Linked DNA regions of Anolis sagrei. Each later gene encodes a partner of the first gene's protein in a complex. Links are inferred from orthologs where the notes say so. Each region holds a gene or a part of one and is shown in the gene's direction. Other genes may lie near its edges.

What was found.
Region 2: the proteins of DLC1 (region 1) and TNS2 are in contact, whole or in part, in an NMR structure (PDB 2LOZ), measured with the Homo sapiens proteins. The link is inferred for Anolis sagrei from reciprocal best matches to the Homo sapiens genes DLC1 and TNS2. Residues at the interface, in NP_001335010.1 of Homo sapiens: Glu811, Asp812, His813, Lys814, Pro815, Gly816, Thr817, Phe818, Pro819, Ala821, Leu822, Thr823, Asn824; in NP_736610.2 of Homo sapiens: Asp1268, Leu1269, Leu1270, Arg1271, Gln1272, Gly1273, Ala1274, Ala1275, Cys1276, Lys1317, Ser1319, Ala1320, Gln1321, Thr1324, Leu1387, Asp1388, Pro1389, Asp1390, Gln1391, Val1403, Leu1404, Leu1405, Gly1406.

Annotation. Positions count from the first base shown.
Region 1 is NC_090025.1:72,529,835-72,533,756, forward strand, and holds the start of DLC1 (rho GTPase-activating protein 7), read left to right. Parts: upstream 1-1,050; 5' UTR 1,051-1,304; intron 1,305-1,814; exon of another isoform or gene 1,815-2,341; intron 2,342-3,922. UniProt on the Homo sapiens protein: Functions as a GTPase-activating protein for the small GTPases RHOA, RHOB, RHOC and CDC42, terminating their downstream signaling.
Region 2 is NC_090022.1:183,699,751-183,703,672, forward strand, and holds the start of TNS2 (tensin-2), read left to right. Parts: upstream 1-961; 5' UTR 962-1,014; coding exon 1,015-1,116; intron 1,117-3,922. UniProt on the Homo sapiens protein: Tyrosine-protein phosphatase which regulates cell motility, proliferation and muscle-response to insulin. Phosphatase activity is mediated by binding to phosphatidylinositol-3,4,5-triphosphate (PtdIns(3,4,5)P3) via the SH2 domain.

The DNA of each region.
Region 1 (3,922 bases):
ACCTCTCATGACCCACTTTACGTCCTGGTGTTATTTGGAAAACTTTGGAGATGGATGATGGGACTTGCAGTCACTTCACTCACTTCCTGAGACCACTGAGACCCTCGCCAATGACTAATCAAGACTAAACTTGGCACATGGAGCTTCAATGACCCACTCAACATCCTGGTGCAGTTTGGAGGAGGACAGACCATGGATGATGGGACTTCAAGTACCTCCACTCCCTTCCAAAGATTGCTGCAACCCTCTTCTAATGACCAATCAAGACCACACTTGGCACACAGAGCCCCCATGATCCACTCTACATCCTACTGCAGTTTGAAAGGGGATGGACTTTGGATGATGGGACTTGCAGTACCTTCACTCACTTACTGACACCACTGCCACCCTCATCTAATGACTGATAAAGACCAAACTTGGCACACAGAGCCCCCATGACCCACTCTATATTCTGCTGCTGTTTGTAGGAGGATGGGCCATGGATGATGGGACTTCAAGTACCTTCACTCACTTCCTGAAAATAATGCAGCCGTTATCCAAAGACCAATAAAGACCAAACTTGGCATACAGAACCACCATTACCCACTTTCTCTAATAACCCGGGCAACGCCGGGTCCCCAAGCTAGTATACAAATAAAATGAGTTTCAGTACAACACAAACAAGTCAACAGAAGACATTCCTTGTAAACCTTCACAATTGAGATCAAACTCAGCAATAGAACTATTATCTTATTTAAAACAAATGAAATTCTGTTGTAGCATTTGGCATCTCAGAGTCTCATTTTTTAATTCTTGTAGCCACAGTTAAAAACAAAATAGTGTCTGATTTTTAAAAACTCCGCAACAACACAGTATTATTATCCCATAGAAATCATCATAGGAGCTCTGGTAGCATTTGCTATGTGAATAGTTAACATTTATTATTAATTGATACTCTAATTAAAGCCACGCTAGTGCTTTCCATTAGCTTACTCTCAAATTTTTACAGAGCTGTCCGTCTGGTTTTAATCAAAACCAAATGGCAATCCAAGTTCCCAGGCTGGAACAGCTCAGAGGAAATCATTCAGAGAAGGCAGAAGAAAGCAGGAAAGATAAACAGCAGATAGTTTCACCAAATCTGTATCGCATGGAGGATGTAGATCCTGTGGGCTGCTCCAGAGATATGATTCCGGCACCCTGTCAGACTGCAAAAGAGTAGTTACAAATGTTCTGTGTCAGCTGAATTCTAATATGATCAAGATGGAGTCTATACGCACGCTTCTATAACTTTGGATCTGTGAGGCTCTAGAGAATACTCCATAGAGGTAATACGCTATATACGTGTAGACTGTGGCTGCCTTTATATGCAATGGCATTCTTTTCTCTTCATTCTCATTGGCTAAAGAGCTCACTGGCAAAGCTTCGTCTTTGAGTTATATTTGCAAAGGCTGCAATTGTATTATCTATCCATCTTGCCTCTTTTTTTCCCTCTCCTCCTGTGCAATTCTTTGCTCAATAGAGTAGGGGGGAAAACGTCTTTAAAGCATGGCAATATCTTCTTTCAAGCTAATTTCCTTAGATGTGGTTCATTTATTATTCAAGAGAATTAAAGAGATATTTGGAATGCTTTCAAAGTTATTGTTTTATATGGGCTCAAGCGGTAGAAACAAAGTATTAACATAGAGAAGTCATAAAATTGGGGACTGGAGATATAAATATCCAGAGGCAGAGTTTCGTCAAATGCACTGTATCCAGATTTTCTGCCATTCCTGTTCTCTCTCTCTCTCACACACACACACACACACACACACACACACACTTACTTTCACATGCCTACTACTCAACAGCAGGAAATACTTTTGAAGCAATCTGGGCCTGGTTCTTTGAGGCCCCATCTCACAAAACATCAGTCTGCATTTAGTAGACAGAAGTAACTAGGGAAAGCTTGGTAGAATTCCATTTCGTTGAGGCTCCCTCCAGCTGCAGAATGTGTTTTGGTCAGAATCACACATATAGAGCAAAAGTGCTGAGAATAGAGCAATGATCTCAGCAATGAAATCCGAACTTTATGCTTGCGGAGGCTGAGAGAAATTCTGGGTGGGTTCTTTTCCCCCCACTTTCCCTTCTCTCTTTTTTGTGTACACAGCCAAAGCATTTTGAGGAGTAATTTTGACTATTTACAACTTGGCATTTTCACGAGTTAAATCTGCAAGTTTTAAAACTTTTTTTAAAAAAAGCTAATAAGCTGCTTTCAGCTATGCATACATTTTCTGGAATCTGTTAGACAAAATGCCAGGACTCTTTAATGAAGCTTTCTGCACTGAGGATTGCATTCGTATAGCCGGAATGGGGAAAAAACACAGTAAGTGAAATATTGCATGCCATCAGTGTCTTTAAATATGGATACATGCATGGATAAGAGATCTGAATTTTTCTATGTTTTTATTTTTCTATGTTTTTATTTTGTTAAAAATGGAAATATTTTACTTACTGTTGATATCTATTGCAAATGACACTTGCAAGATTTTAGTGTGTATGCTTTGCATTGGCTATAGAAACAAAAAGTTGGAATGTATTTTGCATTTTTCCTCGTTAACAATAAGAAGGGAGAGTTTGGGGTAAAAAAGTGGCATCACTCTTTAATTTACAGTCCTACAGAAGTCTTCAGAAGGAAGTCCTATTAAGTTCATGTTCACAGATAAATGTGCATAGGATTGCATCCTTGGCTGTTTATAACAGCCACCTGAGTTTGGTTCCATATAATTTTGTGATCTTAAGTGTGACTCCAATGCAAGATCATGATATCAAGTTGTGAAATGTGTCAGTCCTATATAGACTGTCAAATGTCAAAAGGAATTCAGGCAGAATTCCGATACAGGAGGTTAGGAAGTAGAGCCACCCCAGAACTCTGTGGGGCTTACTTCTGAGAAAATGCTCTTAATGCTAAATTCAGAAAATCTTTTTCATGACATATATCAGCTGTCATTTTAAAGAAGGAGGGAATTACTACAGAATTAACGCTACCTCTACTGCAGCTTAATATTTTGATTCCAAATTCTCTTTGGATATTTCCATAGAGCAAAACATTATTCCATTCCAACCCTGTATGAAACCATAATAGAGATGGTATATCATACATACATACTAGTCACAGAGGAGATGTGTGCAAGAATTCCAACCAGTGATGGATGATGGAGTTGATGAAATGATAGTGAGTAGGCTTGGTTTCAACAAAAATGGTTGAAAACCTGTTTCAGATGTAGGGGGCGCTGGTGGTTCGATTCTAAAGTCACTTCCAGTTTTTTTTAAAAAAAAAATCAAAACTTTCCAAAACTTCCAAAACTTCCGAATTGCTTCGTTAATGGCAGACACATGTGCGCAGTAAGAAATAAACAGCACTGGAACTGAGGAAACTTCATTGGATTCTCCATCCCTCGTTTTTAGACTATTCCTGATGAAACTTGCTACAATGGTAGAACACATGGACCACTGTTAGCTCACCAAATTTCATAACCTTTGACTTATCCATGGATTTTTGGCGAATTTTCAAAGTTTTATAAAAAGCATTTTTAATAATAAAGAATATCTGTTCCTGGTTTGAAAATGTTATTTCCTGTTTCATTGGGTGGTCTTTACTTTGAAAGTAGCTGTTCTACTCCAGAAACTTTGTTTATGTGGCACAAACTGTGTTAAATTGGTGCAGAACAGAAATCACAGTACAGACCCCATCAAGGGACATCTAGACTGATCCCCTTCTTCTGGGCAGAAAGGCACCATCCAAACTCTCCTGACATCTATTTGCTTCCTCTACTGAGTTAGTGGGAACTCTCAAGACACATCCATCCATTTATTCCTATTTGCAGATGCAATCAATCATTTTATTTCATCATTACTTACTGACGTAAAGGGAGGGCTGGCTGGCTGTGGTGGGTTATCCCAGTGC
Region 2 (3,922 bases), on another chromosome or scaffold:
ATCTGGGGACCCAAGGTTGAGAACCACTGTTCTAGAAGCATTCTCTCCTGACGTTTCGCCTGCATCAATGGCAGGCATCCTCTTGCTGTGTCCAAAGGGGATTTCTCCCAGATAAGTATGGACCCTTTCAGACAGGCCCTATATCCCAGGATCTGATCGCAGGTTTTCTCTTTATCCCAGATTATCTAGCCGTGTGGACTCATATAATCCAGTTTAAAGTAGAATTAGATCCTGGGATATAGGGCCTATCTGGAAGGGCCCTGTGTCTAGGCATATACCTTTGAAAACCCAGAAGTTGCCGAGCCAATGTATATAAGATTTAACATAAATGTTTATCCAGCCCATCACGCGCGCACACATCTATATACACATTCCTGCTTAGGAAGCAAAAACCAAGCTCTTTTCCTCCTCCCTCTCTTGAGATGGGCCCCGAATCCGCTGACCCAGAGCACCAAAAACTGGAAGGAAACAGGATACAGATCTGGCTGAATGGTACACATGTCTCTTTGTTACTCCCAAGCTGCTCTGGAGGGATTTTCCAGTGGTAATATGTTTCCAATTATCCTGTTACGCTCTTTGGAGTCTATGCATTCTGACAAGGCGTCCTTTCCGTTTCCAACAATATGTCATCTCGCCCTGCTTTCCCTTCATTCCATGTTCTTCCCCCCAAAGGTGATGACCTTCATCCCCATGTTACATGCACGCTTACACATAGAGTCCGGCTAATTTACCTACATCCCAAGAGCTTGGCTTTTGCCACCTGTTTACAGGCCTGGTTTTATAAGCTCGCACGCGGCTTCATCTGGCAGGGCTGAGTTTGCTCTGGCACTGAGCTAAATATTATTAAGGCGCTCTGTGTGTATGTGTGTGTGTGTGTGTGAGTGATGAAGGGGGGGGTGGGACAGGGAGGAGGAGTTTGCAAAGCAAGGCAGTTCCAAAGATTCTGAGAAGGGGGAGAAAATTTGCCCACAACTTTGCCGGAGAAAGGAGTTGGGACTCGGAGAAGGGGATCGTATGGGCTGGACAGGAGGGCCTGATTGTTGGGGGACCGACTGCTGCTCTGCACCCCAGGCAAAAGGGGGCCCAAGAGGCACTGCCAGAATGCAGCTGACCAAGGTGTGTGGCTAAAACCCTGCTCTTTTTCTCCTTGCTTGGTTCTTCTTTACACAGGGCAGCATGGAATTACTGGCTGCGTCATTGGATGGAAATCATTCAGCCCGAGGCGCTGGCTGTTTGTGGCACAGGATGGCAAGGGGTGTATGTGCGTGTGCGTACAAAGAGAGTTGCTGGCTAGGAGCAGAGGGAGAATTCATAACCTCCCAACTTTCTGCACATTGATGAAAGTCAGAGCAGGTGTGTAAGCTGTGTCAACGGAAACCTAGTTCAGTTTTGAATCTTTGCCTGCTTTACATTAGTATTCTTTATCTACTTTGTGGCAGCCTCCTCTCGCAGTCTGTTAGTAAACGGTCTCTAAGAGTCTTTAGTACAATGCTTGATGGATATGACCAATCTTCTGACAACATAGCAGCAACTCAAGGCTAGTATACTGATGTTACTGGCAGTGATGGTGGGTTTTTTGTCGTTTTTCCTTTGTCGTGTCAGGAGCGGCTTGAGAAACTGCAAGTCGCTTCTGGTGTGAGAGAATTGGCCGTCTGCAAGGCTGTTGTCCAGGGGACGCCCGAGTGATTTGATGTTTTTATCATCCTTGTGGGAGGCTTCTCTCATGTCCCTGCATGGGGAGCTGGAGCAGATAGAGGGAGCTCATCCTCCTTTCCCCGGATTCGAACCTGTGACTTGTTGGTCTTCAGTCCTGCCGGCACAGGGGTTTAATCCACTGCGCCGCCAGGGGCTCCTAGTGATGGTGGGTGGGAGCAAAGGAAACAACACAATGAATTAATGTGAGCAAGTTGCTTAGATGTACCACTGTCAGGATGCATTCCCTGCTACTCGGACTGTAACTTTTATTTATTTATTTTATTTATTTACCTCTGAGGATGCTTGCCATAGATGCAGGCGAAACGTCAGGAGAAATGCCTCTAGAACATGGCCCTATAGCCCGAAAAAAACCCACAAGAACCTTTTATTTATTTATATGAAACTGGGTTTTTGTTGGGTTTTTTTCGGGCTATATGGACATGTTCAAGAGGCATTCTCTCCTGACGTTTCGCCTGCATCTATGGCAAGCATCCTCAGAGGCAATCTTTGAGGATGCTTGCCATAGATGCAGGCGAAACGTCAGGAGAGAATGCCTCTTGAACATGGCCATATAGCCCAAAAAAACCTACAAAAACCCAGTGATTCCAGCCATGAAAGCTTTCGACAATATGTTTATTTGAAACATTTATATTCCACCCTCCTCACCCCACAGGGGACTCAAGGCAGAGCACAACATATATACGGCAAACATTCAATGCCGGGACATACTTAGGTGATCCCTCGTAGTCCGAGGATGATGGTCCTCCAAGTGTAGTATCCTGGCAGTGGGTCTATAGGTGACTGTGGAGCCCTATTCTTGATCTGCACCTTCTCCCACAGTGAGGGCATCCAGGTGGAAGGCGGTCCCGGTCAGGGTTGGCTTGATACTATTTCACCAGAAGACATACAACTTTGAAGGCCTAGGAGATCAAAGCCATGCAGTCATTCCTTCCCACCAGGCACTGATGGGCTTCAGGAGTACACTGTGGTGCCATCTAGCTTTCTTTGCACTCCTGTAGCACATGTGTTGTGCAAGGAGGTATTGAATACCTCTGTGCATTACCCTCTGAAAGTGTGTGCATTACCCTCTGAAAGTGTGTGCACTTGGTTGAGCCACCAAGAAGATTCTATGTTTTGGAAGTGACTTTCCCAAGCTCTGAGGTTCTGTTTGTGAGAGTTGCTATTGTTGGCACTTTTCAAGTTTCTTTCAATCCCGTGGGGCTGCTGTATATTTGTTTTGTTAATACTTCTTGGCTATGATGCACATTTGTATGAATGCATGCACATGGGTTTTTAACTGTCAGTATACTATGTTGTTGTTGAGTGCCTTCAAGTCATTTTTGACTTACAGTGACCCTAAGGCAAACTTACCATGGGGTTTTCTGGGAATGAAAACATAAGTTGCCTAAGGCCACTTAATAGTTTGTCATAGCTGAGCAGGGGTTTGAACCCTGGGGTATTGTGTTGGTTTCTGAGCTGTATTACCATGTTCTAGGAACATGTCGGCTAGAAACCACACAACACCCCAGTGATTCCAGCCGTGAAGGCCTTCAACAATACATTGATTTGAATCCTGTTTTCCAGAGTTGGAATTCAGCACTCAAACTACTACACCATTCTGGTCCAGTACTGCTTTTCTACATAGCTTAGAATAGGCTTATTAAGACAGTAAAAGAGAAAAATCCTCTTATCTGAAACTATTGTGTAAGTGCAACTGGATCTACTGTAAGATTGAGCATTCTATTAAATATGCTTAACATCCATTTAAAAAGTAAAATAGTGACGGTTCATAAATAAGCACATCTTGTTTAAGAAGCCAGATCTGATAGAAGCCATCCTATTTTCCTAATGATTAGTTGGTTCTCAGTTTCCTCTTCATGTGCATGATTGCCAAAAAGGCAGATTTGCTTGGAAAAGTTTGGAAAGGTTACTTTTCTAGACTGTAACTCCCAGAAAACATGTGCTAGCACACCCAGCGGTTCTCCTCTGTTGAACACAACAGGGCTTATTTTTTGTGCCAAAGATTGCACAATAAATAAATGGTTGTTGGTATGTGCCTTCAAACTCTTTCTAACTTATGGTGACCCTAAAGTGAACCTATCATGGGTTGTTGTTATTTGTTTTGGCAAGTTTTTCAGAGGAGGTTTGCCATTGTCCTTCTCAGAGGCTGAGCAAAAAGTGTGTAACCTGGTGAGCTTCCATGGCTGAGTGAGGGTTCAAACTCCCA